Oreochromis niloticus: one gene and its partners. The protein of the gene in region 1 purifies or fractionates together with the protein of each later gene. This does not show direct contact. Links are inferred from orthologs where the notes say so. Each region holds a gene or a part of one and is shown in the gene's direction. Other genes may lie near its edges.

Region 1 (3,753 bases):
AGAGTTCTCCTAGGCCAGTTGGTGTTTTTCTGCACTGACTTCAGTATTAATTAAAAAAGAAACAGCTGAAGGAAGATTTTCAAACTACAGTAGTTAGGTTAGTTGGTCAGTGACAGTGACTGGATTTTAAAAAATTATCTTAGAGCAGCAAAGTTCTGAGAAGTAAAGATGGGTAGAAGGTCACCAGTCTGCGTTCAAGCAGCACTGCATCAAAAAAAAGTCATGATTCTGTCATGGAAATCACTGAGTGGGCTCAGGAACACTTCCAGAAATCACTGTCTGGGAATTAATGCTTGTGTAACTGGGAGCTTGTGTAACACCTTTTTCCAGGTGGAAAAGCAATCATCACTGCTGAAAGGTATATACACTTTTTAGAGCAACATAAAGCTCCCATCCAGATGACGTCCTCTTTCAGGAAAAGCTTTGCATATTTCAGACTATGCTAATCTGATTACTGCCTTAGTAGGAGAAGAGTCCAGGTGCTGACCTGGCCTGCCTGTATATCAGACTTTTCACCCATGGAAAGCATTATGAGCATAATGAAATGAAAAGTAAAAACAAAGAAGAAGACCTGGAATTTTTGAGCAGCTAGAGTCGTATATCAGACAACAACCAGGCGACATTCCTCTCCCTAAAGTCCACCAACTGGTCTCCCCAGTTCCCAGAGGGATACAACTGTTGTTAAAAATAGTGGTTAAAATCATGGGGTTATAAGATCTCCAAATCTAAAATAGCCTAATGTTTTAGGAACTGAGGTTGTGCAGGGATTGACTGATATCCCGAATCATGAAACTTTGCACTGATGGAAAAAAATCACTTCTGTGAAAATAAGATACTACTAAGGGACTACCGGTTTAGTAATCTGTGGTTTAGTTTGAATGTACCCATTGTTTACGTCGTAAACAAGCAGGTTTAAAGGCTGACCAGTTTTTGGCACAACACCGGTACTGTTACCAGGGCAACGTGTGACCCGTGCTACACAGCAACCTCAACATGTCCTTTAAATCACAAACAACACTTACATTTACGTTACATGTACGTTCACTAATACTTCTAACAGGTTTAACTAGACTATTGCAGAGTGAATTTAATGTGCATGTACAGTATATTGCAGACACGCGATTATGAGACTTCCTTGATTAAAATTCTCGATTAAATCAATAAAGCACAATTTAACTTGGTACCGGTCACGTCGGGATTTTATAAGATTATTTTATAACATGTTTTTCCTTCCCTGTACGTCTATCTCAGTGTCCACACATTATAACTCGTTTACTGTACCATAATCGCATCAGTTGCCAGACCACGAGTGCGCGCAACAGAGGGCTGTGCACTCGCGCGTTCAAGTATTTGTACCCACATGCTCGCTGAGCTCAGTCAGCGTTTGACTCAGTAGAGGCAGAAGGGATCCAGGATTTCCACTTGTCAGTTAACTCCACGATACCGAAATCAAGTGCATCCCTTCAGCCAACATGTCAAAGTTGGATCAGATCCTTATCCTCGACCCTCCGTCTGACCTCAGATTTAAAGGTATGTGAATGAACTATTATTTATTTATTTATTTAGTTGTTGCCGTGTAAAATGTCCAGCGAGTAGTAGTAGTAGTAGTAGTGGTGGTGAAGCAATGATTTCACACTCCCTCAAGCGAATTTCGTGCTAGCAAGCTAGCTAGCATTCACCGCCATTTTAAGTTAGCCAGGGAGCCGGACGGGCCGCTGCAGCCCGGCGCTATAGTGACGTGGATAGCCGGGCAGGCGTGCGCCCAGGTGGCCTGCTATTCAGTACCAGCTTACTGACAGTACCAGGCAAAGAGCTGGAAGGATGTGGCTGTCAGTGACTGCTTAAAAAAAGGAGAGTTAAAGTCTACACGTTAAGAAGCATGTTTGTGTATGTCTTCACATTTAATATCAGCTACTATGCTGTTGCTAGTTGTGTTAGCAGGAGTAAACTGTTGTTTCTTGGGGCTTAGGCTATTCCCTGGAAAGAAATTAATTTCAGAATGAAAAATCCGGCGTTCATCTTGATACACCTGTGGCAGGAACTTGTGAAGCCAGTAAAGTGGCTGACAGTTGGAATGACAAACTTGGTTAGCTAACGTGAACTGTAACAGCATGTATAGTTTATTTATTTTTTTTAATAGCAACACCGGGCTAACATTAGTTCAGTTGATCTAAACCTATTAGCTAAATGTTGGCTAATTTTAAGCGTGTGTTCGCATCCTGGACAAAACAGGACGGCACATTCATGGGAAAGCAGGGTGCTTCACGTATTCGGTTGGCACTGATTGCTTTTCCTGGTAGTGATAACGTCCAGTGATGTGTCAGTTAACCGTTGGCTAATGATAGCATTGGCTAGCCTGCTAATGCCAAAGTTGATGTGTAGTTGTATAACCGTATTGTTTTGCGTCTGACAGACCTGAAGAGACCAAAAATCACATTTTTTAAAAGTCATAGATAGAACATAACTTTTGGTCATTTGTGAGTCCAACTGTTGCTCTTGTGGTCAAGTGAATGAAGTGGCAGTAAACGGCGCTGATTTCAATGAAGCTAGCCCTACCAGGCCATGGGTGACACAACAATCTCCACAGTTGGACTATTTATCCTCATCATTATTCATTTTGACCCAGAAATCCGCACAGCACTTCTCGTATTTGTCCCAGTTACCAAGCTCTGTGTCTGCTGGAGGCATTTTTGCGAACTAGACAGTTATTTCTCTTTCTGTTGAATGTACCACTGTCCTGGACGAGGTTATAAGAGGACACTGGTGTTGGGACAAGGTGTGAATTGATACTGGTTGTAGCCTGACAGGATCGTTAGGAAGGACACAAGCTCACATTCCAGACCCACTGTGTCTTTGGGTGGGGTGTAATAATTTGAATGTTTTGGTGATGAGGTGTCCAGGGTGAAACTAAAATTATTATTATTTTGCCTGTATTATTTTGCCTGACGGTGACACAAGTAGAATAAAGGCAACCCCCCCCCAAAAAAACCCTCATGTTAAAACTGAAACTCATAAAATTTGTGTACATTGATTAAAATCCGGGAATGTTTTTATCATGCAAGGTGCAACAGAAAGTGTGATGGTGAATGGAGCCTTTTCCAGCAGGCTGACATTGTAATTGGACAGGGATAAGGATGTAAATCAGTAAAAACTTGCTCTGGCTTAAGTTTAAAGACATCTGGAAAAGGGTAGTAACCATTTGATTAAACTCACATTTGTTATGTCATAATAACAGCATCAATCAACAGGTTAATGGTGCTATTATGATAAAATTCTTCAATCATATTGTTGGAAAGCCACCAATAGTGTTATTTGTCTCAGACAGGTTGTTTTTTTGGGAGCAACAAGGTAAACCAGAATACATAAATGAAATTTTCTCCAGCTGAACGTTAAAATTTCATGGGTATTTAGCCTGATGGTAGACACATGGTTCGTCATAATCTGATCATGGACCTCTACTTTTTTTTACCCGATTAAGAAATTCTACTCTAATTTGACTTATTCCTGTTACTGATCAGTCACACGGTTTACATTTTCCCTCATCAGATTAAACTTTTGGCCTTTTATATTCTGGATTGGATGCAAAGCTAAATTGCATTAGTATGATGCTGTTCATACTGATCATTGTTTACTGATCATCATTGATTCATTTTATTCTTTAGCACCGAGGCCAAAATGTCTAATCCACTGCACATGTAAGAAAATCCCAATTCGTGGGTCATAAACCCCATTCTAACAATTTGATATAAAATG
Region 2 (3,753 bases), on another chromosome or scaffold:
TTGTGTGCGAACATTTTACTCTCGATTTTATTTCATTTTAATTCCGCACAAGGGACAGGAGGAACAAGCGTATTTGAGAGTATCTGAGATATATTAGGAGAAAAAAAAGCCAAATTGATCATTTACGGTGAATATATGTATTTGGCCAGTTTTACTTAGAAATTTTAATTCACTTTGGATGAAAATGGTAATTTTGGAATAAAGAAAGTAATTTTAGTTGAGTTATTATTTTATTTTTTGAAGGAAATTGTGCAGAATAAAACGTTATCTTATTGCAGTATATTCTACAATATTCTAAATGGCAACATTTTTATAACAACAGAGAAAACGGTACATTTTTAAAATGAATAGAACATTTTTTAGACATTTTTAAATTCATTGTTGTGACAATACTAAGCAAAATTTTGACCCAGCCTTCATTTCTAGATATTTTTCCTGGAAAATGTGAAACATGTTATTGAAACATGAGCAAACATACATGGAAATATAGCATGAAAGGCAGAACCAGTTTGTACAATTATAATACACTTGATTGTCTACTAATTCGTCTGTTATGCATAGATACAACAGTTGGTCCTCTCTTGAGTTGAGTATCTTTTCTTATGCTTAAATGATGCACAGATCAGTTTTATGAGGGGTTTAATGAACAGAAAAAAAATCCCCAGCAGCCCATACCCAAAGAAAAACGTAGAAAGAATTCAGAAAGCCTGGAGAACTTTTGCTCAAGACCACTTAAAAAATAATAATACAAGAACATCTGGCTACTTGGAAGCAAAATATAAAGAATTTTGATTTGATTTGAAGAAAATATTTTATGTATTTATTTATGTTTTAAGCATACCTCTAGCCCTGAGTTGATACTGAACCACAGATACAGAAAGATGTACATACCCATACAGATGTGGGTATATATATTAGCAGGGTATGTATATGTAATGTGTATATGTAATGTATTTCCACTTTACATGAGAATGTATGTCGCGAGGTGTGGACGCGGAATTAGGTAGAAGAATATTGCATGCAGTTATTGTAGGATCGCGTTCAGCAGTGTTGCATCTTATCTGTCTGAAGGATTTAAGGACAAAGTGAGAGCTCTAGCTTTTTTCTGCTGTCGACCTATCAGTCTTCCAACGAAGAGGGAGGGAAAAAAAGAAAAAACATGGATCTATCTAGAGCATGTTGGGATGTGTAGTTTTACGTGTCGAACTGTCGCGACATGAGTTTGTGTTTTCAGCCATAAGAGTGAAGTAACATTATATATTTCACTTCTCATCAGCTTTCTCACTCGTTTGACTTTAATATGTTGTTTTCATATCTAAACCATATTTTCACAGACGTTTATTGTTTGTTTTCTTCATGTGGACGCAGAGGATTGTGGAGTTTGTAGGCGCCATCGATATTCAGCGAAATGCAACAATAAGACTACAATTCCCACAGTGTGTGCTGTTCATGGCGTCTGGTCAAGGGCTAATGACAAGTCGCCTTCTGACAAACAGATAGGCCCGTGATTTTAACGGTAAGTAACGGCGGTTTTAAGCGTTGTTTTTTTTCTCGAAAGTGTGTCAGTGTAGATACCGTTTAGTGGAAACGACAGTGTCGCTAAAGCTGTGCCACACGTTAAACGTTGTGTCCTAGATATCCAACTGGCTCAGCCTCCTCCTACTGGTGGTCATAACATACTGTAGACAGTTAACTTTCAAGTGTAGCTGGTCGCATTAGCGTCGCGAAAGTCTGCTCATTTACAGACGAAAACAAACCAAACTGCTGCTCAGAGCTAGCATAGATGCTATAAACAAACGCTTTGAACATTTTATTTTTGTTTTTTTTTTGCAGTTGTCGTGACTTTGTTTACTGCTTGCAGGTGTTGTTGTTGTTGTTGTTGTGCTGTCTGCGAGTGACACGATGGAGGTGGAGAGTGTCCGCGTGGAAGATGAAGGGCGCCTAACCCAGATGAGGTTTGATGCCGCCGTGAAGGTGATCAAGAGTTTACCCCCGAATGGTGAGTGAACACCTCACTAGAAGCTCTCTTTCTCTCACACAGACACACACACAGGCCAGTTCAACCAGCTCAGCCACCCCCGGGCAGGTGCGGTGCAGCAGCTTGTGCGATTTAAATAATCCACTTTGGCCTGCTTGCTTTGTCCCCAAGCCATCACAGATTTGAAAGAAATAGAAATCAGCCACAACTCTGCACGTGGAGGGTAAGGCTTTTTATGTGATGAGAGTTTTCTTTTCCTCAGGTCCCTTTCAGCCCTCCAATGACATGATGCTCAAGTTCTACAGCTACTATAAACAGGCCACTGTGGGACCATGCAACATACCCCGACCTAGCTTCTGGGATGTAGTTGGAAAGGCGAAATGGTAAGTTAGGGGGCGGTGGTGGTTGTGCGCTTAGGATTCCTTCAGAACTCAATTCTATGGGGAAAAAAATGTGATTTCAGGGCATAAAAGGAATAATTTGTGCCAAGAGCAATCAGTATACTAAATAATTAGATGCTGTGTTGCTATGATTTGTTTGATTTGTTTATGGCTTGGTGAACCAAAGACAATTTTCCCTCAATGTGAGTAATAAAGTTATTATAGTCTATTCTATTTCTCCTGCACTAATGGTGTAACAGGAAGATGCATGCACTTCTGTGAAGCAAGCTTCCCCACACTGCTTGTTTTAAATCTCTGTGGATCAGTGTACTTCTAAGAATAGTCCCCCAGACACAAACCCTGTTGCTGTTATGTTTTATCATATTTTATCATTCTTTGGCGGTCACATCAAGACAGCTTGTGATATTCAGAAATGAAAATCTCACTCTGTTAAGCTCAGGCTGTGTCAGGTGATCTCTGGACTCATTAAAATTTATCGGTGACCTCTTACCCACAAAGCTGGACAGTTTCTCTCAAGGAGGGGCTTGTGCCTGTGTGTTTTCTCAGTGCTTTACACACGCTGGATACTGTCAGTCTCGAAGCATTGAGTTTGATCATAAACCTTAAGCCCTTGCTCACCGTGATCTGCTTTGTCCTTCTGTAGACTCAGATATAGCTATATTCTTATTTGCAAGTCTGTTTTTAATCTACTAGTTTGGTCAAAAAAGTGCAGGATGTTACTGTTTTTGGTCTCAAGAATTATTCCTTCTGTCTTTCCTTAAAATTGAATTTGTCATTTTGGGGTAAAAAAAAAAAAATAGATTCAGATAACTTGATTAATTCCAAAAAGGTCAGTTTGTTTGTACCTGTTAAGCATGTGGTCTCATAAATGAATTTTAAAGGACTTTGAGGCAGTTGCTTGAACTCTCCTGCCCTGTTTTTGGCCTGGTTTCTATGTAGCTGCTGATTGCACCGCTGCCTGTTCTGGCCAGGACACCCTTGAAAAAGTTATTTTTAATCTTAAACATGATATTTTCTTGGTTAATTAAAGGTTAAATAAACACATATTTCATGGGTAGGTACAGTTTCTAGTGAATGTTTAAGTGTCTGCCAGACTGTGATCCAAAGTTAGTAAATTAGTTGGTGTCCTCAAATAGTCTTTCCATATTGACTCAGCTGAAAACTGGAACTGGCACAAAGGCCTTCAAACACACTTTTGCTGTTTTGCTCTTCTGTGTGTTCCACCTTATAAAATTATATAACAGTGCATGTTTTTTTCTTTTGCTTGCTTTTATTTATTTTATTTATGTATTTATTGTGATAGGGACGCCTGGAATTCTCTTGGAGAAATGTCCAAAGAAGAAGCAATGTCATCCTATGTTGATGAAATGAAAC
Region 3 (3,753 bases), on another chromosome or scaffold:
CCAGACCTTTGTAAGCGTTTTTTTGTGTAACCCTATCCTCCCTGTGTCTCACCTGGTCCGTTCTGCCGGGCTTGATCCTCGTGTAGCCCTCGAGTGCCTTTCTGCCCGCAGCAGGTGATGGGCCGTCCCGTATCATCACATGTCCAACCCAAAACAACAGAGGGAGGCTCAGGGTGAGCAGGCAAAGCCAGCGAAGCATCTGCACAGGCGGATAACATGTATGAATGTTAGGGTAGTGCAGCTACGCACACATTATTGAACATCCACTGTTTATCGGTTAAATAAGCGAGTGACTCTTACCAGAACGTTCATATCAAGGCCTTCGGGAAACCCCTGCGTTCAATGGCCCGAACGACACTCATTTTTCACGCCGACCCGAGAGAGACGTGCCCAGTCAGCCACCGTCGATTCATGATCACAAAGGTTCCATATCAAAAGATTTTTAATTGCGTTTCCAGATCTGTCAAATTCAAGTATCCGTTTCTTTGTGCGATTACTTTCGTTTTCATCACGTAGCCGAGCTCATTATTCTAGTCTTATTTGCACCATGTTTACATGCACTACCATCTCAAAACTGTGAAGCTGCTCGTTTCTTCCCCAGCTTTGTTGACACAGTACCCTACAAACAATTCCTAGGACCCGCCTTGTAAATTATAACGTTGCCCGTCTTTACAGAATACGACTTCCGGAGCGACTATTTCACAACAAACTATCACCTGAACAAACTTGATAAAAAACATTACTTACCAGAAATAACTGTAACTTTAATAACAATAGTTATAATAACTATGACTTTAACTATATAAACAACTATGGTATAATTTTTTTTTATTATTGTTAGAATTTAAATTAATATAATGACATTAGATGTACTGGCGCGTAATCACTCCTTTATTCTGAAAGAAACATGCCAAAACCGGAAACAGTCTTCTTAATACTTTTGGTTACTTTAAAGTAGCCGTCAATGCTGCGTTCCAGTACCCCTCGTAAACTCTCTTTCCCACAATAGAAGGAAAGTAATTTATAAACATTTTTCAGATGGTGAAACTACGCCGTCCCAAGACTTTTTCTCGTTATACTATTCTAGTAGCCTGACTCCGATGTTATGGCCTTAAGAATATAATTAAGAATATGATAATTCTCTAGATTTCGCCAAACGTAACCCAATTATGTCACTTTAGCATTATTTCTAATTACCAAGTATATATACCGCCTTGAACTTTCTAGCAGCATTTCGCTTCTGTTTGATCAGGATAGAGTGACGATATTTCAAGAACCAATATGTGATTGGATTAGAAAAGTTTTTGCCCCGCCTCACCTTTTCTCCGATTGGTCAAGAAGTAGGTAACTATCTTCACACCTCACCCGACTGGCCCGTGTCCGTGTCTGTATTCTTGCGTTAACTACGTAGGGCGTTAGGAGAAAAAAAAGAATCCACCGTGCGACTTTCACTGACTGTGACACGGGGATGTCCTTCCTTGACGCCTCGGATGATCACGGTATGTACCTACGCAGGGATTATGTTATTAGTTGCGCCTCTGGGGAAGCTGCACACAAAGCCGCCTTGAAGTCTGTAAGGTGTCAGCTCACAGACTTTGCTCTGAAGCCAGCCTGACCTGGTGATGCTATGATGCGGAATGACAGATAAGGCTAGCCGAATAAGCTAGCTAACGTTAGCATATGCTCCTCTAAAAAGACAGTTTCATCCTTGCCAGTGCTAATATTTAGCTGTCATTGACTCGAGCTTTAAAGACAGACATAAACCCTACTGTTGAATTTATGGGAAAGCTCTAAAATAAATTGTGTCAGGAAAATTACTGTTTTCTACTTCCTGAACTGGCTAACAGCTAGCTTTCGCTTTAACATATTGTCAAATTTCTATCAACTAGCAGCCTTGTTGTCGATAACTTCAGTCTGTATGGAACATAGTTGTGCTTTATGTACACTAGTTTGCTTCAGAGATATAGAAAGTCACCCAGTTTCTCATATTGAAGCTACAACTACTATCTTTTGTGAGGCTTTGTCTCGTACAGTATGTTGAATGGCGTGCTTGTTGCCTATTTGCATACCAGACACTCCAGACTGGTTAAGTAGTAGCTGGCAGCGTGTCAGTCTGCTCGCCTTCCAGGTCAAACCATAAACCTGTACAAGTTAAATCTGTGTCTGGAGAGTAGTACAGTGAAAATAGTTTGAACTGATAGCTGCTATTATAATGGTCGTGCAGTTAAAAGCACCTACACTTAGGTAAAAACCTTGTGTTCTATCTGTTGTAGAACAACACGACTGCAGTCAGCCACTGGACGAGAGAGTGGTTGATTACGGATGGTTCATCAGCAGGTCCTGAGCTGGCTGATCTCAGACCAGAGGGGAAACTTAATTTTTGCTGTGGCCTGAAGGCATTATAATTCTTGAGATGTCAATGAGACGAGGAGAAGGGATGTCCATCGCTCAGGCTTTGGCCATGACTGTAGCAGAGATACCCGTCTTTCTCTATTCCACATTTGGGCAGGTAAATCCCTTTATACACATGCACACACAGAGTGTACGCTATGTTTGGTCGTATCCTCACTGCTTCTTTTGCTTTCAGTCCATATTTTCCCAGCTGAGGCTTACACCGAGCCTGAAGAAGGTGCTGTTTGCCACAGCGCTGGGCAGTGTAGCTCTAGCTCTCACTGCTCATCAGTTAAAAAGGCGAGGAAGAAAGAGGAAGCAGGGAACACAAGAAAAGGATGGCCAGAAGACAGTGGGAATACCAGAGTCGCTCATGAAGACAGGACGGCCCTCATCATTAAAGAGAGGTGTGAAGACAGAATATTATGTTTCTTCTTTTTGTTGTTGTTGTTGTTGTTACGGGCTGTTTAGCGTCTTTCAGCAGTGGTTGCTGTGAAACATTCAATGAGGAAATGTTTTTCTTTTGGGACAGCCCCGTTTACTGGTCGACAGATGATGAGTCCCAGCACTCGAAGCAATGATACGATGAGTGGAATTTCCTCCCTGGCTCCCAGTAAACACTCAAGTTCATCACACAGCCTGGCATCTGTAAGTTTTATACTTTTTTTTTTTTTTTGTTGTGTTTGCTTTATTTTTGACTTATTATTATTTTTTTCACCATCTTCGGGTGTATATGTGTTTGCATGCACATTTCCGACGTAGACGCGAGTCCCAAGCTCTCCAAATCAGTCTGCCAATCCATCCACCCCATGGGAGGCAGAGCCTGTGGTGGAAGAGTCAGGGGCAGTAGAGGATGCTAATGCAGAGAATCTCTATTTAATGGGTAAGTATTCACATATTCACTAAAACTTGTGGGTTTTTTTTGTTTGTTTTTATTTTTTAATATAAAAAACAGCGTAAAGCCACTTTTTTTTTTTTTTTGTCTTTTCACTATTTGAAGATGACATTAGAGCACAAGCTATCTATAATTACATGCAACCAATATTAATCAGTATCAATTTGATGCAAAAATACCAGTTCCTGTAACTCTGTAGATTTGTAGTGCAGTACCATTATTTTTCACCTTACGAGTAATGTGCTTAAAACTGTTTTCACACAGCCTTTAATTACTCTTTTAATTAACTGGGGGACTGTATGTGAGTGATGTTTGAATGAATTGGACTGACATACAGCAGGTTTTAGTCTATGTAAAATCTCACTGAGCCCATGTGTGAATTGAACTGCTGTGTACTACATGTAAGAGGGGGCATAACGCCAGACAATGTTGGGATTCAAATGTTCTCTTCGTGCTAGGCATGGAGC

Evidence for each region.
Region 2: the proteins of vapal (region 1) and acbd5a purify together in Homo sapiens (co-immunoprecipitation; 4 studies listed by BioGRID and IntAct, counting the BioPlex papers as one, with this or other methods). This does not show direct contact. The link is inferred for Oreochromis niloticus from reciprocal best matches to the Homo sapiens genes VAPA and ACBD5.
Region 3: the proteins of vapal (region 1) and miga2 purify together in Homo sapiens (co-immunoprecipitation; 3 studies listed by BioGRID and IntAct, counting the BioPlex papers as one, with this or other methods). This does not show direct contact. The link is inferred for Oreochromis niloticus from reciprocal best matches to the Homo sapiens genes VAPA and MIGA2.

Annotation. Positions count from the first base shown.
Region 1 is NC_031982.2:24,673,241-24,676,993, reverse strand, and holds the start of vapal (VAMP (vesicle-associated membrane protein)-associated protein A, like), read left to right. Parts: upstream 1-1,373; 5' UTR 1,374-1,472; coding exon 1,473-1,530; intron 1,531-3,753. UniProt on the Homo sapiens protein: Endoplasmic reticulum (ER)-anchored protein that mediates the formation of contact sites between the ER and endosomes via interaction with FFAT motif-containing proteins such as STARD3 or WDR44.
Region 2 is NC_031974.2:12,561,933-12,565,685, forward strand, and holds the start of acbd5a (acyl-CoA-binding domain-containing protein 5A), read left to right. Parts: upstream 1-1,361; 5' UTR 1,362-1,516; exon of another isoform or gene 1,517-1,517; intron 1,518-1,861; 5' UTR 1,862-1,902; coding exon 1,903-1,999; intron 2,000-2,240; coding exon 2,241-2,361; intron 2,362-3,682; coding exon 3,683-3,753. UniProt on the Homo sapiens protein: Acyl-CoA binding protein which acts as the peroxisome receptor for pexophagy but is dispensable for aggrephagy and nonselective autophagy. Binds medium- and long-chain acyl-CoA esters.
Region 3 is NC_031972.2:16,050,616-16,054,368, forward strand, and holds the start of miga2 (mitoguardin 2), read left to right. Parts: upstream 1-1,350; 5' UTR 1,351-1,499; intron 1,500-2,273; 5' UTR 2,274-2,413; coding exon 2,414-2,509; intron 2,510-2,587; coding exon 2,588-2,798; intron 2,799-2,923; coding exon 2,924-3,039; intron 3,040-3,153; coding exon 3,154-3,274; intron 3,275-3,744; coding exon 3,745-3,753. Other genes in the region: st6galnac4 (alpha-N-acetyl-neuraminyl-2,3-beta-galactosyl-1,3-N-acetyl-galactosaminide alpha-2,6-sialyltransferase), read right to left, coding at 53-199, 301-312. UniProt on the Homo sapiens protein: Regulator of mitochondrial fusion: acts by forming homo- and heterodimers at the mitochondrial outer membrane and facilitating the formation of PLD6/MitoPLD dimers. May act by regulating phospholipid metabolism via PLD6/MitoPLD.